Linked DNA regions of Cricetulus griseus. The main gene of each other region encodes a partner of the protein of the gene in region 6 in a complex. Links are inferred from orthologs where the notes say so. Each region holds a gene or a part of one and is shown on either strand. Other genes may lie near its edges. The genes, in order: Polr1c, Polr1h, Taf1d, Polr2h, Polr1b, Taf1c and Rrn3.

Region 1 (3,970 bases), on a different chromosome or scaffold from region 6:
GGGTATTATGAAACTGGTGGCTCTAGACTGTTAACGTTACACAGCCTTTGCCAGATTTCTGTGTGGTTCTCCCTGGAAAACCTACGTCACCTTGGGACACACATGGGTCCACTTTCCCATCTGCTTACCTGATCAGCCACCTGTCGGCTCAGCTGTCCCTTAAAGCCTTTCATGCCCAGAAACTCGCCATCCTCCTCTTCTGCAGCAGCTGCGTCGGCATCCACTTCTTCCTCACGCAGGCGCTGATGCAGCTCCCCCATGTCCTCGAAGCTGGAGCCTGACGTGTCATCCATGTTCTCCATGTCAATCACGGCCGAGCCCCCGCCCTGTGAAGACAAAGGCTGCTAGAGAGCGGGGCCTTCTGTTGCACCCTTCTGCTCTCTGCTCATCGCACGGTTTGAGGCTTTGCTCTCCCACTGATGAGGACATTGGAATTGCTACCCATCGTGCCAAACTCCTCCTTGTCACTGCTGGCACAACTCTTGTCGCCACACTTTTGTGGTTCAGAAAACACACTACTCATCTTCAATTCACGTTGTTTTCCTACCTTCCCCCTCAAAGCTTCGAAGTGCTGCACCGGGGCCGACCTGCCGCCACCCACCTTCAAGCAAGCCTATGTGCACACAGGCCACCTTTAGGGGCTCCAGGGAATCAATCCTACCCTCTAGCCCTGCACCTGCCTGACCCAGACAGGCCGCCCAGCCACGGAGACCCGAGGCCCGCTGCAGCCTCGGCCTGGCCCTTCCTCCTCAGCACAAGCGCTACAGACCTGGGCGTGGGAGACTCAGCGGCCACCACTTGCAATGGAGCCGACTTCCAGGCCGCGAGAGGGGACGGCGGCCAGCCCGGGGGCTGCCGGCAGCCGGGACACCGCTCCATACCTGGATGTTTTCTTCGAAGCCTCCCCACTCCGGGCCAGCTCCGTTTCGGACGCCGCTGGCCGGCGCCGCGGGAGTCGCCATGTCCCTCGAGGCTTTCCGTCGCTGAAGCTCGCGGGCGTGGGACCAGCGTGAGACCCGGGCCGGAGAGAAGGAGGAAACGTCCAGGAAAGAGAGAGGGCGAGGTAGTATCAGCCGGAATGCAAACAGGAGAAACCCGGATGTTTGGCCCCAATTGACGTCCGGAAGTGAAGGACGTGGACGGGGCGGGGCAGGATATCGCGACATTTATAAGTTCAGGAGGCGGGGCGTTGCCAGGGAGACGGCAACGGGCCCCTAGTACGCCTGCGCGCACCGGAGGCGTCTCGAGGCGGGTGGTGGACGATGGCGGCGGCCCAGGCCGTGGAGGAGATGCGGACGCGCGTGGTTCTGGGAGAGTTCGGGGTTCGCAACGTGAGCTCGGAGCGGAACTCGGGAGGGTCGGGGGCGGGATGGGGGAGGAGGAGGGGAGGGGACCTGGCTTGCGGCTTGTCCTCACCGCCCCGCTGAACACATCTGTTGGCTCTAGGTCCACACCACCGACTTCCCCGGTAACTACTCGGGTTACGACGACGCCTGGGACCAGGACCGCTTCGAGAAGGTGGGTGCGCGGGAGGTGTCCCGGCGGCCCGGGGACCAGACGGCTCACGCTCGCCGCGTTCCAAAAACGTGTGCTGAGCCATCCATGTGCTGGGTGCTGGGTGGCCAGGCCGCCCGGGTGGGGTGAAGGCCCACGTGATCAAGGGATCCCGGTGAAACACAAGAGCGGCGAGCACGGCCGGGGTGCGGGAGAGGAATCCCGTAGGTGACTTAATCCGGTCCGTCGGAGAGACGGAGACTCGGGTCAGTGAAGGAAGACTGGCCAACAGTTAGGCCGTGCAGGCCTAATTGGAGCATTGTTGCAAACGCTTGTTTGCGCAGAGCCTGCTCCAGCAGTTCATTATCGCCAGATGTCAATACATTGGCCCGAGTGGTAGACAAGACCGGGGTCTATCTTTTTCTCTTTGAAAATTTATTTGTATTTTATGTACATTGGTGTTTTGTCCGAATCTATGTGAGGGTGTCGGATCCTGTTGTCAGTTACAGTGTTGAGTGCTGGAAATTTAAACTCGCGTCCCTGATTGGGGTGTTATCTTAAGCTCTGCAAGTTAATAGAGAGCTCTGTTGTTTTTTTTTTTTCGAGACAGGGTTTCTCTGGGTATCCCTGGCTGTCATGAAACTAGCCTTTCTGCCTCCTGAGCGCTGAGATTAATAGCATGAGCTACCTCGCCTGGCTTAAAGAGAATTTTTCAGTAGACTGATCTAATTTTGTAACCTTCATAGCTGGGAGGGAATGAATAAATTCCACTGGTAGTGGAAATGGAGCAAAAGGAGAACTAACAGCTATGTACCATATAGCTTTGGTGAGGGGTGTGTGTGTGTGTGTGTGAAAAAGGGCCTTGTGATGTGGGGAATTTAAGGAGTTTTTTTTTTGGGGGGGGGGTTATGTGTTTACCTGCATGTATATTTGTGCATTTGTGTGACTGGTGACCCAGGGAGGTCTAGTTAGGTCCCCAGAACTGGAGTTATGCATGGTTATGAACCACAGTGTGGGTGCTGGGAACCAAACCCAGTTCTTTTTCTTTTTTCTTTTTTTTTCTTCTGTTTTTCGAGACAGGGTTTCTCTGTGGCTTTGGAGGCTGTCCTGGAAGTAGCTCTTGTAGACCAGGCTGGTCTCGAACTCACAGAGATCCTCCTGCCTCTGCCTCCCGAGTGCTGGGATTAAAGGCGTGCGCCACCCAACGCCCGGCCAAACCCAGTTCTTCTGTAAGAGCAGTCAAATGCTCTTAACTGCTGAGCCATCTCGTCAGCTCCATTAGGGAAGTGTCTTGATGGCTGATTGTGTCAGTTGATAAACAGGAGAAAAAGAGTGATAATATGTTCAAATTCCTGTATGTGAAGTCTGTAGGTCAAGTGAATGATGCCTGAAGTGAGATCAAAATGAACCCAAGTTTGGGGAGTTGCTGAGTAGTTGCTTAAGCCAGGAGTGTGATTGAGGTCAGCCAAGAGATTTGAACCTGGGAGAAAGTAACATTTACAGGGTGAGAGGAAGAATTTAGAATATCAGATAAGAGAACTAAATTGGTGTTCAAAAGTCAAGGGAGTAGAATTTGAAAAAAGAGGGATTGAAAAATAAAAACAAATGCAGGACTAACTTGTCTAAGCAGTGTGGGACGTTCTGCTCTTCAGTGTAGCAGCTTCTGTGGGTTGTTTTTGTGGAGCCATATTGCCTAGGGTCTTTTTTGGGGAGAGGGCGGGGGTTGAGACAGGATGTAGCTTTGGAGCCTATCCTGGCACTCCATCTGTAGACAAGGCTGGCCTGGAACTCACAGAGATCTGCCTGTGTCCCCCTCCCCCCCACGCGCGCGCGCCCAGTGCTGGGATTAAAGGTGTGCACCACCAATGCCCGGCTTTGCTTAGGGTCTTAGTGATGTACACCTTTGATCCTAGTCCATAGAAGATAGGTAAGTATTCCTGTGAGTTCGAGGCCATTGTGGTTTACATAGATAGTTCCAGAAATGCTAGGGCAAGGTAGGGAGACCCCCCCTTATTTTTTAATTTAAAAAAGAAAGAAAACCAGCCAGGCTTCTTACAAAACTCAAGAACAGGGCTGAAGACAAAAGTCTAGTGATCATCTGGTCACAGGAAGGCTTTAGGATGAGAGAGGGTGGACATACATGGAGGGACATTGCCAGGGTGGGAGTAATCACAGAGGGAGGCTTGAATTACACAAGAGAAACAGGTGTTCCATCAGTTTTTTCTCTATCCCTCTAGAATTTCCGTGTGGATGTTGTTCATATGGATGAAAATACACTGGAGTTCGACATGGTGGGAATTGATGCTGCCATTGCTAATGCTTTCCGGAGAATTCTGTTAGCTGAGGTAAAAGAAGACGTGTGGGTCTCTTATTTCCAGGTAGGGAGATCAGTTGGTGTTGCAGTTGGATGATTCTGCTTTTTTGAACAGGTGCCAACAATGGCAGTGGAAAAGGTTCTGGTTTATAATAACACATC
Region 2 (3,937 bases), on a different chromosome or scaffold from region 6:
ATCCCCACAATGTAACTGCAAATAGTACCACTTAGAAATACATTCTTGGATGCCGGGAGGTGGCTATGAGTGGGAGTACATGAAGCTTTCTGGAGTATGGTGATGTTCCACTTTTCAGCCTGAGTTGTTACGGGGCTTTACTACGAAGCCCACTGTCTTCTGGCTCCAAATGATCCTGTCTAAGCTCTGGGATTACAGGCATTTACCAACCTACCAAGCTTAAAGAAAATGTTTTCTCTCATGCCTCCTGATCTGAGGTCCTAGGCTAGGGGTTTCCTCTAGGACTTCATAATCCTGCATCCTGCTTGGTCCTTTCCTTCCCATAGCTGGAAAATGATGTCCTTGCTCTCAGATCATTTCTCCAGGAATTGGTTCTCACCATTCCATTCTGACTCCTAAGTCTAGCATTTTCACTCTCTTCACTTACTAGAGCAGTGGTTCTCAACCTTCTTGATGCTGTGACCCTTTAGACAGCTCTGGATATTCATGTGGGTGTTTCTGCATGGGCATGAACTCATGTGGAGACTGATAGTGAAGGGACCAGCTTCCCTTTCAGCAGCCATAACAGCCGAACACATGCTTGCCATAACCTTGTCTTGGTCACTTAGAGGTCAGATGCCTGCCTAGTGACAAGGAACCAATCAGAAGTTAGTCACTAGAAAGTCAGATGCCTGCCTCGAGACAAGGAACCAATCAGAAGTTAGCTGGTGGCGCTATACTTTATGACCCAGGGTGTGCTTTATGGATAAGCACTCAGCAATGACGCACAAAGCATAGCAACCACCCTGGGAGGGCCTATGGGCCATAACAACCAGTTGGCCAATCAACACAGGGCAAGCCCTCCAAGGCTGGAGGCACACCAATAGTGAGCCTGTGCATACCCCTAGACACTCCCCTTACGCTGCCCTGTAAGATCTCTTGGGAGACCCTAGGAGCTGTCTTTTGCGAGCCATCTGCCACGGCGGGTGGGTAAAAGACCCGAGCTAACATGGGGTTAGCTTGTTAAATTACAATAAAGCCTCATGCAGTTTGCATCAAGCTCTCGAATCCGCCTGGTGATTGGGGTGACCGAGAATGTGGCCTGGGACCCCGGATACCTGAGTTTTCCGGGGGGTCTAACATTTGGGGGCTCGTCCGCGATTTGCGACCACCCTTCACCTGAATGGATTCGATCTTGGAGGTAAGATGATTCGAGCTCGCAACTTATATGTTCAATGTTATATGTTTGCTTGTTTTTGTTGGTTTGGTGCCACTTGAAATTGCTCTTTTGTTGATCTGAGCCTGCGCAGGACTCGTGATTTGTAATTTGGACTTCAGGGGGAAATAGACATATTTCAAAGTCCCGTCCTGGACAAAAGTCCGAGGGCTATTTGAATTGAACCATAGGGTAAGCAGACGTGCACAGAAATAGACGTATTTCTGGAATCCTTGGTTCCGCCCTGGATGAAGTCCAAGGGTTGTTTGTAATTTTGGTTTGGGGCACCATTTCTTTGCCACAGGGTTTGTCCTGTCTGATGTCCTGTTTTGCTGTTGGTGTCTGTTAAGCCTAGAGGATTGGAATGGGCTGGGTGACTGAACAGTTGAGCAACAGGTTTGTTATCTGTTATCTGATCTGTTGCAGCCCACACCCTAACCGTCTGCTTGTGTGTCAATTTTACTATTTCTGTTAATTTTGTGGATATGGAGGTCCTATGTTGGGGTTTCTGGCGACATCTGTGAGTAGGCCTACAAGAATTGTTTAAGGCGGAAGTTCGGGCGGCAGCCTTCCGAAATCTATAGGGGAGACTTGGTTTCGAACCAAGTTGATCTCCACGGGGCTAGCCATCTGAAATTCCGAATAGGACCCTAGTCTGTGTTAAACATCTCTTTCTGTCCCTACTGCCCATGCACATGGAATGCATGGGTCAGGGGTCTTTTCTTGATGCTCTGAGCACATGATGCCACCTCAACTGTGATCAGCAGATGCGCCCGGAGGACAGACTGCTGCTCTGAGGACACCCAGGAGGTACGAACGGAGGCCAAGGACTTGGATCCTCCTCAGTTAGTGATGATTGTAGCCGCTGGGTTCTGCAGCCCATCTTCCGTCGCCATTGCCTTATAAGCGGCGCGGGCGGATTGGGTTGGCGTCTGTTCTTTCCTGTCTATTCTGTGTTATCATCATTGGTTTTCAATTCAGGATCCACCACACCACCCCCTTTCTATCCCCACCTGCGGGTCTGTGAGGCATGCCAAGTGGGGCTGTTTCTGCCCCAGCTGCCATCCTGCCTGCCAAGGGAGTTTCCCTGCTCTGAGGGAACATGGCTGCAAGGCCCGCCATCTGCCTGGCTGCTCGGCCTTCTCTGTGCTCCACACACATGGTATGCAGGGGGACCGAGGGGGTCTTTATCCCATTATCCCACCCCTGCATTGGCCAAGGGTCTGGGGTTACCACCAACACCCCCACCCCAGGTCTCTGCCTTGAGCACATGGAGCTGGGGCGTATGAACTTATCTGGCCTGATCCGGACTTCTAAAAAAAAAAAAAGGCCTTAAAGTTATTAAAAGTTATTAAAAACTGTAAAAGGGACTTTGATAAAAATTTTTACATTGACTGAGAAATGAGAGAAAATGTAGGAGACTTAAATAATAAAGAGAAAAAGGAAAAAGAAAAATTTGTCTAAGAATGTCTAAGAAAATCAGAGGAAAGAACTATAAAAAGTTATAGAAAGTTAAAGCAAGTCATAGAAGGTCAGAAAAGAGATTATTAAAAGAGAAAAATGTAAACTGTTTGCTATGGTTTCTCATGTCAACAAATAGTAAATTTTAAAAATGGTAATATAAGTTAAAATTTTAACCATATTAAGCTAATTCTGTTTTTAAAAAGTCCTGTTTATTTCTCAAGTAATTTATGTATACTTGTTTTAAAATGTTCTTTTTCCTGGTATAACCTAAGTTCTGTTACAAGCATGTTAAGCAAAGGGTGCAAGTTATGGCCATTTTGTAACCAGCCACATGGCAAACTGGTCACATGGCTGACTGGCAGCCATTTTGCTGAAGTTGAAAAAAGATACTTAAACCGCCATCCTGACTAAAGATGACCGCGTGGAAATTAGAGGTTCCATCTTAGAAACAAGCTTTTCAGTTAAGATTTAAAGTGTTAATGCTTCTATATATTACAGAAAGATATTAAGGGAATTTAAATTTCTTTTTAAAACCAGTTTTTTAAATGTTTATTTTTATTAATGTTTGTACTTAAAGAGCTTCAATTTAAAATTATTTTTAAGCAAAGCCTGACAATGTAAAATTCTTGTTTTATAAAAGCTGCTAATCTATTATAAGATGTTTATCTTTTCAGAAGTTAAGTTTAGGGTGTTGGTGGCACACGCCTTTAATCCCAGCACTCCAGAGGCAGAGGCAGATGGATCTTTTTGAGTTCAAGGCCTGCCTGGTCCAGCATATTGAATTCCAGGACAGGGTCCAAAGCCACAGAAAAACCCTGTCTCATTTGAGCAAGCAGCTAAAATGTGTACTTGTAGCTACTGTTTAAGGACTATAATGTAACCCTATGCAGTCTTAAATTCAGCTGTGCTAAGTTTCAAATATTTTACTAAGTTAAAACCAGTTACAGTCAGGCTGAAAATTAATTACAGAAATGAGACCTCACCTAGCCACCTGTATGTTTCTTGTGTGCTTAAGGTGAAAGACCCCTGCCCCTTAGCCCTTTCTTTCTCAAGTTTGTCTCCTCTTCCTCCTGTCGGCGGCTTCCCCGATCCCCACCCCCGGCGGCTTCCACTTCCCCCGCCACCAGCCGCACGCCCAGCCCGAGAACGAGCACCAGGTGGGCTGGCCCGAGAACGAGCACCAGATGGGCTGGCCCGAGAACGAGCACCAGGTGGGCCGGCACGAGGGCAAACACCAAGTGAGCCGGCCTGGAGCCCGGCCCCTGAGCCCCCGCCCGA
Region 3 (4,080 bases), on a different chromosome or scaffold from region 6:
TATGTCTGAACACTCTTCTCTGGTGAACGCCCCACAACAATTCTGCTCATTAAGTTCTTTTCTTTTTTCAAGACAGTTTCCTGGAACTCACTCTGTAGACCAGATTGGCCTTGACTCATTGATATCTGCCTGCCTCTGCCTCCCAAGTGCTGGGATTAAAGGCCTAGAAGCTCATTAAGGTTTTTTTATTTTTTTATTTTTGGTTTTTTGAGACAGGGTTTCTCTGTGTAGCTTGTGCTGGCCTCCAACTCACAGAGATTCGCCTGCCTCTGCCTCCAGAGTGTTAGGATAAAGAGTGAGGTGAACCTTGGCAGGTTTCATGGCGGGCGAGGTTGACCGAGGCCAAGGGACAAACATTCCAGGCAGACAGCTTAAATGAAGTTTTATTAGGAAGAGGCAGGCCAGCATAATGCCTGATCCTTACACCCAGTGCTGGGATTAAGGGCATGAGTCACCACCGCCTGGCAGTACACAACATAAAGATGGTAAAACTTGTATTAATAATTCTAAATTTTCCTTACTTATGGGGAAAACATAGTCTAGGCTGGCCTGGCAATCCTCCTTCAGACTCTCCAGTTCTGCGATTTGCCACAGTTCTCAGCTATTTGTCACTTTCGTTTTGAACAGGACCCTGCAATTTAAGTTTGCACTGGTCCTGAATGTGACAGTCTGAGATGCCTGTCTTAGAGCTTACAGCGAATGCACTGGCTGCTTGCAAGTACAGCAAGACCTTACTTTTAAGGCGTGTCCAATCATAAATGATAACAACTGTTGACTAAGGGCAAGCAGATCTGCTGGCTTGCTTGTCATACAATACAAAGGTGCAGCATGGAAAATAACTCAAAGCAGCTCACTACTGAAAAGAAAGTACTGTAGGGCTAAAAACTGTTTAGCCCTACACTGTTGAGTCAACTCAGGATCTGAAGGAGGAAGCCCATGCCTGCTGGAAGCTAACTCCTGAAGGGTGGGGTGCCCAAAGCACCTGGCACCCTTCCTCTGAGGGGGAACTCCGCACACAGTGGGCTCGGCCCCACAACATGCGGACGCTCACCTGACCCGCAGTGTCTTCACGCCTGCAGGAATGCCTTCTTCCCTTCACCTACCCAAGTTCAACGTCCTGCTCCCTTCCGCCAGCTCAAAGCCTAGGGGCGAGCCCGGTACCGCCTCTCGCGGAGGCCCCGCCCACTCCACAGTCCACGCACATAGCCACGCCTAGCACGTAGCCGCGCTCTCGTACCCACCCGCCGCTAAGAGCTCACGCGAGATCTCGGCCTGCCCTAGTCGGCTGCTGCGAGCTGGAACGTTCTTTTGGTCGCGGTGGAGGAGGGAGACGGGTGTGTTTGCGTTGGGCGCTCGGGTCTGGCGCGATCGGTCGGTGCGGGACTCGGAGACCGCGCGCGGGCCCGGGCTCTTTGGGCGGCTGTCCGCGCGCAGTCGGCGCTGTTGTCGGGTGAGGCGCAGCGGGCCACGCGTGGCTCCCGGTCGCTATCGGTCGCTGCCGGAAGGTTTTAGAGTGTCCCGTCGGGGCATTGTGCTGGTGCTGCCTTCCTAGGTCGAGAAGACCGCACAGGTAGGACTGATTTCTAGATAGGTTCCTCGTGTGTACTTGGCCATTACCCTTAGAATTTTCTCCGCTCTATCGTTGGTGCAAACGGGCCAAGTATGTTACGTTGCAATTTTGATGGGCTAATACTAAAAAACAATGGGGAATGGAGAAATGGCTCTACAGCTAAGAGCACCAGCTGCTCTATCAGGGGACGTGGGTTCAATTCCTAGCAGCCACGTGGTAGTTCACAACCATTTGTAATGGGCTCTGGTTCCTATTTCTGGTATGGGTGAAACCAATGCACTATCCGTAAAATAAGTCCCCTTTTAAAGGAAAAAAGTTAATAACCCGGGAGGTGGTGGTGCATTTCTTTAATTACAGCACTCAGGAGGAAGGCGGATCTTGAGTTCGAGGCCCCGCCTGCCTCTACCTCCTGGGGTTAAAGGCGCGCACCACCACCTGGCCAGTTGCGGCCCCTTTAAAGCTGCCTTGTGGGTGCTGGGAATTTAATCTGTCCACTCAAGAGCAGTCAGTATTCTTAAAGCTAAGCCATCTCTTCAGCTGACTCACCCTAGAGGTTCTATTGTTGGGATTACAGGCCCATTGGCCATTCGGGAAATTGAGGCATACACACTGAGTGGCTAAAAATTCAGCCTTCCTAGGGTAAACATCCGAATTAATGCTGTTTCACTGTGTGGCTGGCTGGTAGTAAAGCCACTCAGGTACTTTTGTTAAGTAGAATTAGAAAACACTGATTTGGAAAGTGGTCTCTCCTTTGCTTTCACTTGTAGATTAGAATTGAATGTGTGGGTATCCAGGAAGCCAGAAACATGCCATGTTGAAGTTGTGAGCTACCCAATGTGAGTGCTGGGAACTGAACTGTGGAAGGTTACACTTTAACTGCTGTGCTCCTCACGTGGATATTTTTTTTTTTAAGACAAGGTTTTTCTATATTGAATTAGAGCCTGTCCTGAAACTAACCTGGAACTCACAGGTCTGCCTGCCTCTGCCTCCCAAATGGCTGGGATTAAAGGCGTGCACCACCAACAGCTGGCTCACTTGGATGTTTTTAAAGATCTAAAGTGGACTATCCTTAGGTCGATTTTACCTAAAGTCACATGGTGGTATGGTGTATGTTGAACTTTTCATTAGAATGCTAGGTGCATCACACTGAAATTGTAATTGCAGAGATCGAGTAATGGCTCAATCAGAAGTGACTTCTGTTGACTGCATGACACCTGATAGAGCTGCAGACATTGGACATCAAAGGTAAGGCAGCTTTTGTGACTAAACACCCTAGAGTTGAGTCTAACTGTTCAGATTGACAGGTCTCAGTAGGTGGCCTCATTCAAAGATGATCCTGCCTATTTCTCCCAAGAGCTGGAATTAAAGGCTTATCACCACACCCATTTGAAAATGTTGGGTATGATTTTGGGGGAGCTGGCTTTGGAAGAAATGTACACTTAAATTTTTAATGTCTTCTCTTATGTGACTTATGAGTGAGTGCTTTGCCTACAGTCAGTATCATGTGTTCAGAAGAGGGTGTTGAACTCCATGAAACTTGAGTTACTAATGACCATGCTGCCTGAGGGTACAGCCTTGCCACTCGTGAATTGGATTGTTTCTAGTAACGACTCAGTGATGCAGTTTATTTTATTTTATTTTTTTAGCGATGACTCATCTGATAGCTTATTTAAAACACAGTACGTTCTTTCACCTACACGAAAGCAAAGAAACCCTACGACAAAACGTGTCACTTTACCTGCAAATGTTGACACTGACACATCAAGTGACTCCTCTATAGAACCAAGGCTTTTGACTTTAAAGGCTATTTTTGAAAGATTTAAGAAAAAGAAACGGAAAAAAAGGAAATACAAGCCAAAATTAAGACCAAGAGGAAGACCACCTGGAATAAAAAATGCTAGAAACCCTAGAAGGTCACAGATAGGTGTGAAGCAAATTAAAAACAAAGGAGCTGTGTTTCCATTCTTAGAATCTGAAAATGGAAGAAAACCCTTACCTTGGAAGAAAATTTTAACATATGAGGTGAGTCATTCTCATGTAAGTGAATACACTAGGAAATTGGAATGATTGTTGCCCCCATCTTTTCTTCCTGGTTTTTCCAGACATAGTTTCTCTGGGTTTGGGTGTTGTTGGCCATTTTTAATTTGAGGTCCACCTGGGACACATTTTGTTACTTTGACAATAAACAATGTGTTCTGTGTAAAGTCTGCTCAGGTTCCAGTGTTTCTGAGTGCACTGTTTTTAGTGTGTATACAAACTTAGAGAATAATGGTCCAAGTCTGTAAATGTACAAAATACCCTCATCTTAGTCTCTAAACTACTCTCAAGCATATCTTACCCAACTTTAAATTAAGTAGCCCATCAAACCAGTCATTTCAAAGTAAGCAGATGTTATTTCGTTCTTTTTATTTTTTATGTCATTTACTTTTTTGGGGGGGTGTTTCGATACAGGGTTTTCTGTGTAGCTTTGGAGCCTATCCTGGCACTCCTTTGGAGACCAGGGTGGCCTC
Region 4 (4,243 bases), on a different chromosome or scaffold from region 6:
ACATTTAAAAATGGAAACTGAGCCAGGCATGGTGGCACAATCCCAGCACTCAGGAATCAGAGGCAGAGGCAGAGACAGAGGCCTGTGAGTTTTCGGCCAGCCTGACAGTCTACAGAGTAAGTTCCAGGATAGTCACGGCCACACAAAGAAACCTTGTCTCGAAAAACCAAAAAGATAGAAATAATTAAAATAGAAACTGATAACAACAAATGCCATGGAAGCGCAACCTTATTTGGCTTTCACATCAATTCAGTGAACTAGAAATGACTGTCTGTACTTTATTGATAAGGAAATGGAAGATGGAAGTAGTGGAGCTGAGAAGTAAAAGTTCAGTATATAGTCATGGCTGTCCTAACTGGCTATGTAGACCAGGCTAGCCTCAAACTCACAGAGGTCTCCTGCCTCTGCCTCCTAAATGCTGGGATTAAGTGTGTGTACCACCAGACCCAATACTCCACAGTCTTTCTGTCACACCAAAATCTAGGTTACTATGTAATCATTTTCTAGGCCTTAAAAAAGCTACATTTGCAGGGTGTGGTGGTACATACCTTTAATTCCAACACTGAGGAGGCAGAGGAGGTGGATGTCATCTGTGAGTTTGAGACCAGCTTGGTCTACATAGTCCAGGCCAACCAGGACTACAAAGTGAGACCCTGTCTCAAATAAATAAACAACTGCAGTTCACAAGCTTCCACTCACTGCTCTCACTAAGTAATCAAGCCAGTTGTTTGAAATTTTTTTCAAATTTTTTAGAGACAGGGTCTCCAGCCCAGGTTGGTCTCAGATTTGATGTGCAGCCAATGGTGTTCTTGAACTCCTCATCCTCCTGCCTCATCTCCCGAGTTCTGGAATTACAGACACAAACCATCACACCCAGTTCTGGTTGTGTGAATTCTAAGTGCAGTAATGTCTTTTTCTAGCAGTAAAATAAAGACCATTCTATGTACTACTTATCTATTTAGTCCCTCCTTTACCACCGCCTCACCTGGAAGGCCTGTCATCTGTGGGGTTGTATTCACCATCATCCAAGGTACCATCTTCATACAAAGTACTAGCTATGACCAATCGGAACTTGTCACCTGAAAAGAGCATCAAGCGGAAACCAAAGATAAAAATCACTTGCTAAAGCCAGTCGTTGGCAGCACATGCTTTTAATCCCAGTACTCAGGAGGCAGAGGCAAGCGGATCTCTGTGAGTTCGAGACCAGCCTGTTCTACAAGAGCTAGTTCCAGGACAGCCTCCAAAGCCATAGAGAAAACCTGTCTCGAAAAACAAACAAACAAACAAAAAAATTCACTTGCTAGCTCCTGTGTTGGACACTTACCCAAGTCCACTGGGTAAATCTGAATGTTCACGTCTAAGATGAGGTCCATCTTGAAAGATTCACTCTCACAGTGCAGCCGAGATACTGGGAAAGAGCGACAGACATAATTACAGGCAACAGAGTCGGGGTCGAATGCAGGAGAACAAATCTTTCAACTAGTCCACAGCCATTAGCCTTGCTCTGGGACACAGACACAGAGTGCAATCCAAATCAGATTCAGAGAAGAAAGGGAGTAAACACCTCAGCAAGTGTCAGGATCCCAAGAAAGAAGCAGAACTTCTCTGGCAGCAACCCGTCTCTAGGCTCTAAGCACACCTGGATGATTTAGACTAAACTCAACTCTGAACAAGATAGTCATTAGTCCAGAGATCCCCACTTCCTAGTAGGCACTCTGCGGAGGGAATAGGCAGGGTGTATTGAGAACTGACACCTGTCTTTAAAAATGGGGGGGGCACGCCTTTAATCCCAGCACTTGGGAGGCAGAGGCAGGTGGATCTCTGAGTTCAAGGCCAGTCTGGTCTACAAAGCAAGTTCCAAGACAGCCAGAGCTACAAAGAGAATCTGTATTGGGGGGGGGGGGGTCTGTCTCCAGGTAAAGTGACACTGAGAAGAAACAACTTCCGGATTACTGGGAAATGAATACACCAAGCAGTCAGCTGCATGAAATTTATAGAGGACTCGGCAAAGGGCTAACAATTCTTGGGGCAATACAAAACTATGGGTTAGGAAGACAGGGAGGTAACTCGCTGCACGGCCTTAAGTAACAAAATAGATCGGGCACCATCACTTCTTACTACAATACTTAAGTGTGCGAGAGAGGCGCACGGTACATACAGCACGTAATACTGAATAAGGAGTCAGAAAGGTGTCCAGGGCTTTCCCAACCCCAAAGCCAAGGGCCACCGAGGCACCAGACACCGCAAACATCATAGGAAAAGCTGTCCCAAGTTTCTCATTATGAAAAACACTGTTTCCTGAGGGAGGTACCGAGAGGGTGGGACGGGCCACTTGGGGTGGGTGGGCATGTTTGGCCTCTTCCTCACCTCCCCTACACACCTTACCTCGGTCAAATTTCTTGCCTTCTGGGTCAATGTCTTTCACATCAAAAATATCCTCGAACAGGATGCCCGCCATCGTAAGGGGCACGAGAACTGCAGAGGTGCGGAGCGCGCGGCCACCACTGGGAATTCGCGCACCCCCTCACGTGGAGAAAAGAAGACAGGGCAGAGTACCGCCCCAAAAAGCGGCAACCAGCCGCAGGGCGCATGCGCACAGGCTTCAGCAACGCAGCCACTTCCGCTGCCTCCCCTCGGGGCTCCTTCACTTCCGCCGGGAAAGGCCACCTCGGAGTGGCTCGGACCTTGTGGGCGAGTCTCAAAGCGCGGTGACTCCGCCCAAGGCGGGGACAGACTAAGTCCCACCCCCGGCGGGTACCGCGATGCGCCCGGCTCTAGGGCGCCCTCTTCAGACCCCGGATCCCGATGCTTGGAAGGCTCCGGGACCGGACCCAGCCAGGAACCTTGATCCTTGGCCCAGAGGGAGCCCGGCCCTAGCCCTTCCCTGCGGTCCGCGTGCCCGCCGAGGGCACAGTCCGTGCTGCAGGAGGGTGAAGCCGAACTCCACCCGCAGAGCGCCCGCCCAGCGGGACGCAGTGCCCAGCCCCTCGGACGGCCACCAAGGTTCCCCACGCTGGTCCGAGCTGGCTCTGACCAGCTAGACGTCACCCGAGCCGGGTCCGTCCGGTTTGGGAATTTGCCGTGATGTCACTGTCAGGGAAAGGAAAGCCCGCATTGTGCCCTCGCCTGGGGCTTCACCTCCTCGCCACGCCGGTCTTCCCTTGGCCCTGCTTGGCACTAACTCTGATCCCCTAGAACACTGCCAATTGAACTTGGTACTGCCTGTCACCCCACTACACTACCCTCTTCTGGACACTGATCCAGTGCGCTTCCACCCGACACTGGCCTTTCCCTGGGAAACGACAGCTCGCAGCGCGCTCTTTCCAGGTGCTATCTCCTTTCATCGCAGCCCCCGTACTGGGCACCGTACGCTCCCCTTGAGCACCACCCTCTGTTTGCTGAATGAGTCTTCATCCTGATGCTGTTCTTTCTACACGGATTTCTGGGCACCGTCCTCTCCAGTGGCACCAACCTAACGCTGTCCATCCTCTTTGTGCCAACGCCACACTGTTCTTATCCTTCCAAGGATCCCGAAAGACAACGTAGAGCTTCACTGGGCCGCTTCCTCGAGGCGTCAGCAGCTACTCAAGTTCCCCCTTTAAGCGATGCCTGGGAGGAGCGACCTCTGCTCCCCCACGCCCGCCTCCCAGGAGCAGCCTCCCCCGCACCAATAGCTCCCTTCCCTCGGGCCTCACCCCTTCCCGTCCCCTCCCACCTCCACCTCCGCCCCGATCTCCAGGCCTAGCAGTTCCAGGTGCACCTTCCCGGGGGAACCCGGAGGAAAAGAAGAAAGGAGGAAGGGAGGCGATAAGGGAGCGGGCTCTCAGGAATCCTCCCAGACCCGTCTGAGCCGCCAGCAAACGCGAAGCAGAGGCTGCCCCAGTCGAGTCTGGCCTGGAGAGCCCGAGATAGCTCGTCAGCAGCCCCCTGCCCCAGCCCTGGAGTCACTACATCCTCAGCCCCTCCCGCACAACGCTGCAGCCGCCCGAGAGCCCGTCCCCTCCACGTGCCAGCGGACCCGCCCCCGTCCGGCCCCGCACCCTCTCGGGGCCGGGTCAGCCCCCGGCCTCCCCAGAGAAGGGGTGCAAGATCGCGTTGCAAGCGCCCCCTGCCGCTTCTCCGGAGGCCAGGAGGCGGCTCCAATGCAGACCCCAGCCCGACCGGACGCCCCTGCAGATGGGCCAGGGCGGAGCAGCAAGCAGGGCACCGCCCTCGGCCCGCCCGCCAAGGAGGGGACGCTAGC
Region 5 (3,500 bases), on a different chromosome or scaffold from region 6:
CCTGCTTCTGCCTCCCGAGTGCTGGGATTAAAGGCGTGCGACACCAGTGCCCGGTGGTGGGCCTGTTTTTAGTATTTGAGGAACCATCATACTGATTTCCACAATGGCAGAACTAGTTCATGTTCCCACTAGCAGTGTATCAGGGTGCCCCCTGTCTGTATTCTCTCCATTGTGTCATTTACTTCCTTGATGACTGCCATTCTGATTGGTTGTGATAGAGTCTCACTGTTGTTTCTATGTGCGTTTTCCCAGTGACTGGTGGTGCTGCCCATTTCTTAATGTTTATTACCTGTTTCTACTTCATTTTCTGAAAACTGTGTATGTGAGCCTGATGCGTGTGTCCCTGTTCTTGTGTGTGCACATGTATTCGGGCATTTTTTTTTTTTAAGATAGGGTCTCACTGAACCTGAAGGTCATTGATTTGGTTGAGCTGTGGGTGACCAACAAGCTCCAGGGATCTACCTATTTCTGCCTCATCAGAACTGGGATTACAGGAGGGGGCTACCATGCCCTGCTTTCTGTATATGTGCCAAGCACTCACTGAGTCATCTTTGGCCAATATTTGATTTCTTGTTATTTGGTGTTTTGACAAGGTCTCCCTCTACCAGCTCCGGCTGGCATCTAATTTAAATCCTCTTGTCTGGTCCTTTTTAATATTTTTTTTATATAGTCTCAAGGTAACATCAGATCTTGGTCATGGTCATAGCACTAATGACTAAGCATAAAAGTACATCCTGGGATACCAGTTATTCTTTGTTTTTTTTTGACCTATGTCTTCAAGTTCAACTACTTCCTAAAATCAGTTTGCAACACTTTTTTTTTGTTTGTTTGTTTTGTTTTTCGAGACAGGGTTTCTCTGTGTAGCTTTGGAGCCTATCCTGGCACTCGCTCTAGAGACCAGGCTGGCCTTGAACTCACAGAGATCCGCCTGCCTCTGCCTCCCGAGTACTGGGATTAAAAAGCATGCACCACCAACGCCTGGCTGCAACACTTTTTATTAGTTACTTTTTTGTTGCTTTGACAAAATGCCGGACAGAAACTAACTTAAGGCGGGAAGGATTTATTTGGGCTTGTAGTTGGGGCATATAATGTGTCATAATGGAGAAAAAGTTTCTGGATGTAGTACAGAAATGTAAAATTGGGAGTGAGTCTGGCTCCTGGTGGGCTAGGTCCACTATCTAGATCCCGTGTTCTGGAGGACATGGATGTTGGGAACTGTTTATGTGACCTGCAAGAGCAGTGCACACTCTTAACCACTGAGCAATCTCTAGCCCCAGTAATGAGTCTTCCTCTGTCCCACCAGCCAGCTCCCAAATAATGACACAGAGACTTCTTATTAATTATGAAAGCCTAGCCTTAGCTTAGGCTTATTTCTAACTAACTCTTATAACTTAATCATTTCTATTAATCTACGTGCTGCCATGTGGTTCATGTCTTTTACCTCCCCTCCTGCACTGCCTGCTTCCTCTGCCTCTGACTAGTGACTCCCCCTTTACTTCCCAGACCTCTCTCTGGCTGGAAGTCCCGCCTATACCTCCTGCCTAGCTATTGGCCATTTAGCTTTTCATTAAATCACAGTGGCATATCTTTACACGGTATAATCAAATACCTTGCTACACGCCCCTGATCTAGACTTCCTGTCTCTGTCTTTAGGAATGCCTGACCTTTCAGTTGTACTTTGAAGGTCTGTCTTTTACAACCCTGACTGTGCAAAAGACGCATCCTTTGTTGCATGTGTAAACAATGGGCCTTGATTCTGGATTGTGTAGATTGTGTGGAGGTAGATACAGTACTTGAGATAATTAAGGCGTGCACTACTTTAAATTTAACGTTTGCTTCTTTTAGGAAAAAATGGAAAATTGGCTAGCATCTATTAAAATAGCTTTAGATAAGAGGGCTCAGAAGACCAATGTGTCCATAAACAATGAAAATTTGCTGAAGATATTTAGCATGGGAACAGAGCTAACAAGACCATTTGAATATCTTCTTGCTACTGGGAATCTGCGTTCAAAAACAGGTAAAATTAAGCAAATAGGCCATATTTATATATTTTTTGATTATGTGCCTACTATGATAAAAAAAAAAATGTTGCTGCAGAATTCCAGAGTAAGCTCACCCTCACTGAAGCCAGATTTTATGATTTAGTAAATTTTGACTCATGTCTGCCAACCTGAATTCAGGGTTCAGCAGTGTGTCTTATTTTTGTAAATCAGTGCTGGTAAACAAATGCATTTGGTGACTGCTAGGAAGCAGATGAGCACATTCGTCTGGGGCGGGGTTACCACTGTGATCTGGAAGGGTTTGGATCTGCGCCCCTCCCTAACCCACTTGTATTGGAATGAGCTGGGAAAATAAAAAGGACAACTGGGTTCCCAAAGTCTGCTTTCACTTTAGGGACAGATGCCACTGATTTCTCTTGTTAGCATGCCAGCATGTGCTTGCGTAGCTTCAGGGCTCTCAGACCAATCTAATTCAATTTTTTCCATTTATCAGAACTAATACTGTGTGTTACGAAATTGTGAGTGTGTGTTGGTACTGGGAAATTGAACCCAAGGCCCATTCATATATTAAGCAGATGCTCTTACCACTGAGCTGTATCCCCAGCCCTGAAGTTTTGTCATTTTATCAAAACATTAGAAACAGACAGTTTGGGTTTTTTGACAAAGACTTTGGCTTGTTTTTGAGTAACTTTTTTTAAATTAAGGTCTCGGCTTCCTGCAAGATTCTGGCCTGTGTGTTGTGGCTGACAAGCTGAACTTCATTCGCTATCTCTCCCATTTCCGCTGTGTGCACAGAGGGGCCGACTTTGCCAAGATGAGGACCACCACAGTGCGCAGGCTGCTGCCAGAGTCTTGGGGCTTCCTCTGCCCTGTGCATACCCCAGACGGGGCACCGTGTGGGTTGCTGAACCACTTGACTGCCATATGTGAGGTCGTCACGAAGTTTGTGTACACAGCATCTGTCCCAGCCTTGCTCTGTGGCTTAGGTATGGACACTGAAGGTCCTGCTAGGTTTCATGGCTTTGACCAGCATCAAACACTGAAGTCACTCTCTGGGGCTCAGCAGAGAACTCTCTTTCAGTCCTCCAAGCATGGGTTGGGCTGCTTTCTTGGCTGCTTTCTCATGCATTCTTTGGAGCTAAAGTAAGTTAAATGTCATTAGCGTTGTCCTTTTTTTTTGTAATACAACAAGAGCAAGATATTTAATAGGACAGCCTTAACATTCAAAGTTAGGTGCTGCTGTATAAATTTCTGGGTCACTCTCCTGTGCTCCTGGTAGATCTTTGAATTTCTAAGTAGAAAATTGTTGGTTTGGGGGAGTTCAATTAAAAAGTAGCTTATGCAGTATAGCTGATGCCATAGATCACTGACCTTTGTTCCTGGTAGCATGCAACCACTGTCTCTGCTTGGGGAAAACTCAGTCATTGTTCAGATGTCATCTTTTTGTTTGAGTATTTTCTAATGGTTTATTCCTGGGATTTTCCTGTTGTGATTTAAAAG
Region 6 (4,241 bases):
TGAAGCATTCCTTTACCAAAATTCGAACCAACTTCTTTATAATTTTAACAAAGACAGTCAATAGCTCTTCAGGAATCATACAGGACTCTAGCACCAGACAGGGACTGCTAAGACATCCAGCCTCATGTACTGAACATCACCTTTTGGGTCATGGACAGCTATTGTTGGACTACCCAGATCACAGCTGTAAGCCAGTCTAATAAAATCTCTATTCTATATTCATCCATCTGTTCTGATAGAGAACCCTGACTAACACCCAGAAACACAGATTTAGAGTTCCCTGGATAATCTGCTACATGGAGGAGACAGATTAGCGAAGTTTTGCTAGTTCCAGAACAAAGGAAATCATAACCCAAAAACAGTTTTCAAATACATTGGAGGGAACATCATGTAGGTAGGTTATAGCGAAGCAGGAGCATCTATTTTAGGTCTCAAAATTCTATCTGAAGTTTTCAGGTAGGGTCTCAGCTATGCAGGTCTTAGACCTCTGTCTCCCTGGTGTGAATAGGCTCATTCCTCCCCTGCTAGCATTGGACCCACTCTTGCTCTGAGTTCCCAGGTGTTGATAGGAAGAAAGTTTTTCTCTGTGACCCCAAGTTCTTCACCTTGAAGTTACATAAGGATCTGTCTTTCTTTCTTTCTTTTTCTTCCTTCCTTCCTTCCTCCCTCCCTCTCTTTTGAGACAAGGTTCTCACCATACAACTTTGGCTATTGCTGGGCAGACCAGGCTAGCTTTGAACTCACAGAGATCCACCTGTCTGCCTCCCTAGTGCTGGTTTAAAGGCGTGCACCACCACCACCCGGGACAACCTGTGTTTCTTTTCTTTCTCCCCCCCACCCCCCCATAGGGTTTCTCTGTGTAACCTTGGCTGTCCTGGAACTCACTCTGTAGACTAGGCTTGCCTCAAACTCAAAGATCCACCTGCCTCTGTATCCTGAGTGCTGGGATTAAAGGTGTGCACCACAAAAAAAAAAAAAAAAAAAATCTGTCTGAAGACATTCTTAGCTTCCTAGTGGGTCCGCAGAACCACACATCCTAAGTTTCACGTGAAAGGCACAAGACAAAAGCAACTTGCAGGCAGCCCCCACGACTCGCTGCTTCTGAGTTTGAAAGTCTCCCAAAGCACGCAGGTGCAAGCTGGAGTTTGAAGACTACAGCCTAATACTCCTTCCTGGCCCCTGATTTAAGCCACGCATGAGCCCAGGGTCATATGAAAAGCGGATTCCTAGGATTTATGGACAATAAATACAGTGCGTGGCCCATCGGAGGTGGTCGGTGAGATAGTTAGTTAATGAAGCAGAGCAGGATCATCCAACACCGGGATGGGAATTCCACGCCTCAGGCGCCACGACCACGCCTATTCCTTGTCTGCCCGGCAGGTAGCGCCGGAGAACGCAGTGAGGCCTTGCTGAGGGCGGGATTTCCTGTTTCTCGGGAGCACTTCCGGCCTGGTCCGGAAAACAGTTCAGTCCGGCTGTGGATGCTCACGAGTTCTGAGCTGAAGAGTTGATGAGTGGCGCTCCGGCTCCTTTTTGGGCCCCGGATCAGGTGAGACTGCCGCCGGGAGCCAGCATGGTCTGCGCGCGGGGATGATGTGAGCACGTGGCGGTGCCGCGAGGCTACAGAAACCAGGGGCAGGCGGGTTCCAGCACTGAGGCTGGTCTGGGACGCTTGCAATGAGGGCGGGCGGTCTCGGGACCGGGTCTCCCCTCTGGCACACATGTGAGCAAGTTAACCACACACCGATTCCTCAGATCCTCAAATTCAGGACCTTTATGCCGCATCCAGCTGGTGGTAGTGCTCAGCGGGTGCTGTTGTTCAATTTAAATTTTCTAAACTGTGGGCTGATTACTCCCTAATGCTTCTAGAGCAGTGGTTCTTAGCCTCTCTAATGTTGCCTGCGACCCTTTAATACAGTTGTAGTGACCTCCAACAATAAAATTGTTTTCGTTGCTACTTCATAACTGTAATTTAGCCTGTTATGAATGATAATGTAAATATCTGTGTTTTCCGATGGTCTTAGGTGGCCCTTGTGCTAGAGGGTTGAAAACCGCTGTTCTAGAGAGTTCCTACTTTTATTCGATCCTCAGAGCCTTTGCACGCACTCATTCCCCCTGGACCCTCTACCCAAATGTGTGCTGAGCTATCTGTCTCCCTGAGTACCCGTAGGGACCCCTCACCTGCCCATCAGCAACCTCCCCTGTGATGGGGGAGTGAGCAGTTCTCTAGAGGCCCTTCTTACTCTCTGGCATTAGGCTGCATAGTCTGGTTTTTACCTGTTTCTTTGTAGTAGACTTTGTAGCACTGTTCAGACTCCTAATGAAGATGTGTGTGACATTAGATGCATTTTCTCCAGGATGGACTTCCCCAGCTCTCTGCGCCCCTCGTTATTTATGGCTGGGCCTCTTGGCATGACTGATGGTCCTGACCTGTCCTTCATGTGCAGCTGGAGAGATGCACTGACCATGCCAGGGTCCCAGCCACAGAACTGCAAGGTGAGGATGGAAATAGGGCACTTCCTTTGGTCCCCCTCTTATCATTAAGACTCAGTGGCACAGATGATAGACAGGGCTAGGCAGATGCTACTCCTGCTGTGCACAGGCCACGCTGCTACCCAGAGAGAGTCGATCAACAGAGGCTGTGGCTCCTCTTTCCTCCTTCTCTCCCTAGATTCAGCTGGTATTTACTGACTAGTGTTTCTGTGCCAGGGTCCTTACAGGCCCAATAGTCCAGCATGAGGAAGTTAGGCAACCCCACCTTGGGGACTGCCAGTTAAGGTGGGAGAGTTTGTACCAACAGGCAGACACTGTGTAGTGTGGCCTTGGTTCTACTGGAACAGTGGAATGGCAGGGAAAGGGGGCAGGATTTCTGCTGGCATCTTGGTTGGGACTTCGTTAGCTGCCCAGCTGCCTTGTGGAATTGAGTACATACTGTAACGATATCTCTTTCCACCAGCTGCCTGAGTTCTGCTGCCTTTTAGGGCCCCCAAATAACACACAGAGTCTTATATTAGTTACAATGCTGCTAGCCAATGACTGGGATTTCTTATCTGCTAGCTCAGTCTTAATTATCAACCATAACTACCAATCTCTATTTTTATAAGGACATATCTTACCAAGGATGCCGGCCTTATGCTTGTCCTCTCTTCCTGGGGGATCACATGGCGACTCCTCTTTTCCAGAATCCTCCTCCTCTCCTAGTCCTGCCTATCTTGCTTTCCTATTGGCCAATTGTGTTTTATTTACCAACCAATAAGACAAACATATACACAGAAGGACCGCCCTTATCAACATACAGGAGAGTGGGTCAAAGAGGGGGTGTTGAAGGAGGGGGTGTTCTTGGACCTTGAGTTAGCTCATTGGGTTCTGGGTGCACAGACAAGGCATGGGTGTGGAAGCTGGTGTGAATGGACTTTAGGATACAGATTCTGGAGTTGGCTGCCTGGGTTTAAGTCCCTGCCTTCTTTCCTGACTCTTACCTGGGGCAAATGACAGCAAACTTATGCTTCAGTTTCTTTCTTTTTGCGGGGGGTTCCAAGGCAGAGTTTTTCTGTGGCTTTGGAGCCTGGCCTGGAACTTGTTAGCTCTTGTAGACCAGGCTGGTCTCAAACTCAGAGATCCGACTGCCTTTGCCCCCGCCCCCCCCCCAGTGCTGGGATTAAAGGCGTACGCCACCACCACCCGGCTGCTTCAGTTTCTACATCAGTGAAGTGACCAACTTTGCAGAGCTGTCATGAGGACTGAATGAGTTTTAGTCAAAGAGTGCACCCCTGCCATGTTATTGCTGTCCTGTTCCCCTAGGATGGGACATTGCCATTGGCCAAGAACCTGCTGTGGGAGCCAACAACACCAGGACCCCTCCCCCTGCTGCCTCCTGGTCCTGGTAAGGGTCTCCTTCTGGGTTCCCTCCAAGGACCTCAGCCATCAGACACACATACATTCCAGATCCTGGATACCTCCATATATCACTGTGTTTCCATGCTGCCTTCTCAGGTTCTTCTTTGACCTCTCTCTCCCCTTAGATCCCTGGGAACCTGGCATGACCCCTCGGGACCTCCTTTTCCGGGGAGGTCACCGCTACCAGTTCCGGCCTCAGGTTGGGCTGGATGTCACTGAGCAGGTAAGTGGTCCCTGGGTGGGATTGTGCTGCACAGCCTGGGCTGTGCTGAGTGACACAACCATTCCCCACAGCTCAGCCGCTTCCTGTGGGACCATGGGGACATAGCCTTCACACCCCTGGG
Region 7 (3,500 bases), on a different chromosome or scaffold from region 6:
GATAGGTAGGTATACATACAGAAGCTCTGTCTGGAAATAAACAAAATAAAATAATGAGTTTATTCAGTATAGATTTGGAAGTGTGGCATAGTGGTGCTCGTCTGTAATCCCAGAATGTGGGAGGTAGAGGCAGGAAGAGCATGAGTTCAAGATCAGCCTTTACTGCATAATGAATTACAGTTGTCTTGAAAAACAAAAAGAAATGCTGAGTGGTGGTGGTGCACGCCTTTAATCCCAGCACTTGGAAGGCAGAGGCAAGTGGATCTCTTGAGTTCTAGGCCAGCCGGGTCTACAGAGTGAGTTCTAGGACAGCCAGGGCTGTTTCACTGAAACCCTGACTTGAACAACAGTCCCCCACCCCCACCTCTGCCCCCCAAATAGGAAAGATCATTTTTGTTGCTTCACAGCAGTGTGTGATGTACAGGCTTGTTTGCTTATCACTACGGGATTATACCGAATAAAACAGCCTGGAGCCATTGAGATGACTCTGACTGCAGCCCAGCCTAAGTGATCCTAGGACCCTTGTCCAGAAGGTGTATACATACAGAAAGTAAAGCCATTTGTTTAAATACTGTTGTAACCATAGCTTAATGGATAATTTGGGGGTGTTACTTTTGTTTGGGTTTCCCCCCTCAGTGTCATGAATGTTCAGCTCTGGCCCAAATGCTGAATCTGTTTCTCCCCCTCCAAGTTTCTCTGGTTTCTCTGTGACTTTGGAGACTGGCTTTAATCCAGAGTGCTGTGATTAAAGGCGTGCGCCACCACTGCCCGGCTCAAATGCTGATTCTCAATAGTATAGTGTTCCTTTTAAAATACATATTTATGGCCAGGCTCAGCACTGTGGAGGCAGAGGCAGGAGGATCTCTGTGAGTTCAAGTCCAGGCCAGCCTGGTCTACAGAGTGAGTTCCAGGACAACTAGGGCTGTTACACAGAGAAACCCTGTCTTGAAAAAAAAAAAAAACCCTAAAAATGTATTTATGAAATTAAAGTTTGAATTTTCTCTGTAGGTAAGATTGATAACAATAAAACAAAGGATTTATACCGTGACCTGATATCCATCTTTGACAAACTCCTGTTGCCCACACATGCTTCCTGCCATGTACAGTTCTTCATGTTTTTCCTTTGCAGCTTCAAATTGGTAAGTAAAATGGCATGGCCGTAGTGAGAGTGAGTGAGTGAGTGAGTGAGTGAGTGAGTGAGTGAGTGAGTGAATGTGTGATTTATAGGGTCTCATCTAATCCTGGCTAGCCTGGAGTACAGAAATCTGAGTGCCTTTACCTCCCAAGTGCTGGGATTAGAGACATGTACCACCGTGCCCAGCTAAAAGTTTATTATTTTTTTAAAATTGTGAGTACCTATGCATGTTCGTGTGTGGGTATGTGTGAGTACCTGTGACCATAGCATTTAGAAGAGGGCCCCAGTACCTATGCATGTTCGTGTGTGGGTATGTGTGAGTACCTGTGACCATAGCATTTAGAAGAGGGCCCCACGCCAGGCAGTGGTGGTTCACACCTATGTGGATCTCTGAATTGGAGGCCAGCCTGGTCTACAGAATGAGTTCTAGGATAGCCAGAGCTACACAGAAACTCTGCCCAAAAAAACATTTAAAAAAAAAAAAAAAAGCCTCAGATTCCCTGCAGGTGAACTTCCGTATTTTTGTTTGTTTGTTTTGTTTGTTTGTTTGTTTGTGGAGCAGTATGTGCTCCTAATCCCCAGCCTGTTTCTTTAGCCTCTTTTATTACTTTATCCCACAATTTTCCCCTTAAAAACTGGAGTAGCATCAAGTACTGTACAGATACATTGAAGGTGGTATTCTGCCTTTGGTCACTAGATGGTGCCCTTTTCCTTCCTTCTGGTGGTACCGAGAGTCACACCCAGCTCTTACAAGGGAAACAAACTCTACCAACTGGGCTATCCCTGGCCTGCAGACCCCAGAGATATTTGTGGGGCTTTTTGTTTGTTTGTTTTTCCAAGGCAGAGTTTCTTTGTGTAGCCCTGACTGTCTTGAGACTTGCTCTGTAGACCAGTCTGTCCTTGAACTCAGAAATCCAGCTGCTTCTGCCTCCGGAGTGCTAGTATTAAAGACTTTTTGATTTCATGATGTTCCATTACTGTTAGTGCCTTTCCTATCACTGTGCAGTTCAGAAAGTCTTCTCCTGTGCCAATAAGTTCAAGACTATACCCTACTTTCTCTTTTATCAGATTCAAAGTAGCTGTCCTTATGTTAAGGTCCTTGATTCATTTGTAGTTGAGTTTTGTGCAGGGCAATTAATATGAATCTGTTTGCATTCTTCTACATGTAGCCATCCAGTTTGACTTGACTAGTACAATTTGTTGAAGATACTTTTTTCCAATGTATATTTTGGGCTTCTTTGTCAGTCGGTGTGTGAGTTTTTATCTGGATCTTCAGTTTTATTCCAGTGATAAACATTTCTGTTTGTGTGCCATTACCATGCAGTTTTGATTACTATAACTCTGTAGGACCATCTGAGATTGGGGATGGTGACACCTCCAGCACTTCTTTTATTATTCAGGATCACTTTAGCTCTTCTGCATAACCAGTCTTTTTCTGTACCACCAGCTCCCAAATTAATGACATGGAGACTTATTATTATGAAAGCTTGGCTTAGCTTAAGCTTATTTTTAACTAGCTCTTATAACTTAAATTAACCCATTTCTGTTAATCTGCATTTTGTCACATATTGCCCTTCCTGCTTCTTCTGTGTCTCCTTCTGTGCCTAGATTCCTCCTCTTCCTTTCTCTCCCCCAAATCCCGTTTATACCTCATGCCTAGCATCACCCATTCAGCTCTTTATTACACCATTACACCAATCACACAGTGTGCAAATATTTCACAACAACCCTGCTTTTTGTAGAGTGGCTATTTTCACTATAGTAATCATACTGATCCATGAGCATGGGAGATCTTTCCATCTTCTGGTAATTTCTTCAGTGTGCAAAGCTTTTTTTATGTAAGTCTTTCAGTTGCTTAGTTAGACTTAACCCAAGATTTTTTTTTTTTTTTCTCTTTCTGTAATTAAAGGTTTGCACTACACCACCTGGCCTTTTTTTTTTTTTTCTACTACTTTCATGTCTTGAACTGTTTTAATTATTTTATTCCACTGTTTGTGTTTTCACAGACTTCGTTAAGGGATTTATTCATGTCTTTAAGGTTCTTGAACATATTCATAATTGCTGTTTTCAAGTTTTTGTCTTGTGCTTCAGCTGTGTTGCATTTCTCAGGGTCTACCCTAGCAGGGCTACTGGGTTCTGGTGGAGGCGTATTGTCTTGACTGTTAATATTTGTGTTTTACAATGGTGTTTAGCCATCCAGGGTTTGGGATTGATTGAGGAGATTCTTGGTGTTTATATCTGGTCTGGTCTTTGTTGAGTGGGTATTCCATTCCTTGGTTGCTATTGTCCTCTCTGGATCTTAAGGTAGTGATGGCTGTGGGTTGCCTTGTAGTAAGTGCTTCTGGAGGTGGGTGGGTGGGTGGCA

The links.
Region 1: Taf1c (region 6) and Polr1c share a complex: the UniProt entries of both Homo sapiens proteins name them as parts of the pol I pre-initiation complex. The link is inferred for Cricetulus griseus from reciprocal best matches to the Homo sapiens genes TAF1C and POLR1C.
Region 2: Taf1c (region 6) and Polr1h share a complex: the UniProt entries of both Homo sapiens proteins name them as parts of the pol I pre-initiation complex. The link is inferred for Cricetulus griseus from reciprocal best matches to the Homo sapiens genes TAF1C and POLR1H.
Region 3: Taf1c (region 6) and Taf1d share a complex: the UniProt entries of both Homo sapiens proteins name them as parts of the transcription factor SL1/TIF-IB complex. The link is inferred for Cricetulus griseus from reciprocal best matches to the Homo sapiens genes TAF1C and TAF1D.
Region 4: Taf1c (region 6) and Polr2h share a complex: the UniProt entries of both Homo sapiens proteins name them as parts of the pol I pre-initiation complex. The link is inferred for Cricetulus griseus from reciprocal best matches to the Homo sapiens genes TAF1C and POLR2H.
Region 5: Taf1c (region 6) and Polr1b share a complex: the UniProt entries of both Homo sapiens proteins name them as parts of the pol I pre-initiation complex. The link is inferred for Cricetulus griseus from reciprocal best matches to the Homo sapiens genes TAF1C and POLR1B.
Region 7: Taf1c (region 6) and Rrn3 share a complex: the UniProt entries of both Homo sapiens proteins name them as parts of the pol I pre-initiation complex. The link is inferred for Cricetulus griseus from reciprocal best matches to the Homo sapiens genes TAF1C and RRN3.

Annotation. Positions count from the first base shown.
Region 1 is NW_023276806.1:255,712,608-255,716,577, reverse strand, and holds the start of Polr1c (DNA-directed RNA polymerases I and III subunit RPAC1), read left to right. Parts: upstream 1-1,170; 5' UTR 1,171-1,262; coding exon 1,263-1,331; intron 1,332-1,446; coding exon 1,447-1,518; intron 1,519-3,731; coding exon 3,732-3,839; intron 3,840-3,923; coding exon 3,924-3,970. Other genes in the region: protein YIPF3, read right to left, coding at 129-326, 882-962. UniProt on the Homo sapiens protein: DNA-dependent RNA polymerase catalyzes the transcription of DNA into RNA using the four ribonucleoside triphosphates as substrates.
Region 2 is NW_023276806.1:228,752,316-228,756,252, forward strand, and holds the start of Polr1h (DNA-directed RNA polymerase I subunit RPA12), read left to right. Parts: upstream 1-1,137; 5' UTR 1,138-1,180; intron 1,181-3,937. UniProt on the Homo sapiens protein: Core component of RNA polymerase I (Pol I), a DNA-dependent RNA polymerase which synthesizes ribosomal RNA precursors using the four ribonucleoside triphosphates as substrates. Can mediate Pol I proofreading of the nascent RNA transcript.
Region 3 is NC_048597.1:128,814,751-128,818,830, forward strand, and holds the start of Taf1d (TATA box-binding protein-associated factor RNA polymerase I subunit D), read left to right. Parts: upstream 1-1,280; 5' UTR 1,281-1,570; intron 1,571-2,734; 5' UTR 2,735-2,744; coding exon 2,745-2,815; intron 2,816-3,216; coding exon 3,217-3,592; intron 3,593-4,080. UniProt on the Homo sapiens protein: Component of the transcription factor SL1/TIF-IB complex, which is involved in the assembly of the PIC (preinitiation complex) during RNA polymerase I-dependent transcription.
Region 4 is NC_048597.1:67,932,157-67,936,399, forward strand, and holds the start of Polr2h (DNA-directed RNA polymerases I, II, and III subunit RPABC3), read right to left. Parts: upstream 2,801-4,243; 5' UTR 2,459-2,800; coding exon 2,386-2,458; intron 1,409-2,385; coding exon 1,325-1,408; intron 1,080-1,324; coding exon 986-1,079; intron 1-985. UniProt on the Homo sapiens protein: DNA-dependent RNA polymerase catalyzes the transcription of DNA into RNA using the four ribonucleoside triphosphates as substrates.
Region 5 is NC_048599.1:49,457,757-49,461,256, reverse strand, and holds part of Polr1b (DNA-directed RNA polymerase I subunit RPA2), read left to right. Parts: intron 1-1,845; coding exon 1,846-2,017; intron 2,018-2,704; coding exon 2,705-2,986; intron 2,987-3,500. UniProt on the Homo sapiens protein: Catalytic core component of RNA polymerase I (Pol I), a DNA-dependent RNA polymerase which synthesizes ribosomal RNA precursors using the four ribonucleoside triphosphates as substrates.
Region 6 is NC_048596.1:196,237,590-196,241,830, reverse strand, and holds the start of Taf1c (TATA box-binding protein-associated factor RNA polymerase I subunit C), read left to right. Parts: upstream 1-1,441; 5' UTR 1,442-1,510; coding exon of another isoform or gene 1,511-1,549; intron 1,550-2,342; exon of another isoform or gene 2,343-2,357; 5' UTR 2,358-2,358; coding exon 2,359-2,496; intron 2,497-3,801; coding exon 3,802-3,883; intron 3,884-4,022; coding exon 4,023-4,120; intron 4,121-4,191; coding exon 4,192-4,241. UniProt on the Homo sapiens protein: Component of the transcription factor SL1/TIF-IB complex, which is involved in the assembly of the PIC (pre-initiation complex) during RNA polymerase I-dependent transcription.
Region 7 is NW_023276807.1:74,978,884-74,982,383, forward strand, and holds part of Rrn3 (RNA polymerase I-specific transcription initiation factor RRN3), read left to right. Parts: intron 1-1,008; coding exon 1,009-1,139; intron 1,140-3,500. UniProt on the Homo sapiens protein: Required for efficient transcription initiation by RNA polymerase I (Pol I). Required for the formation of the competent pre-initiation complex (PIC).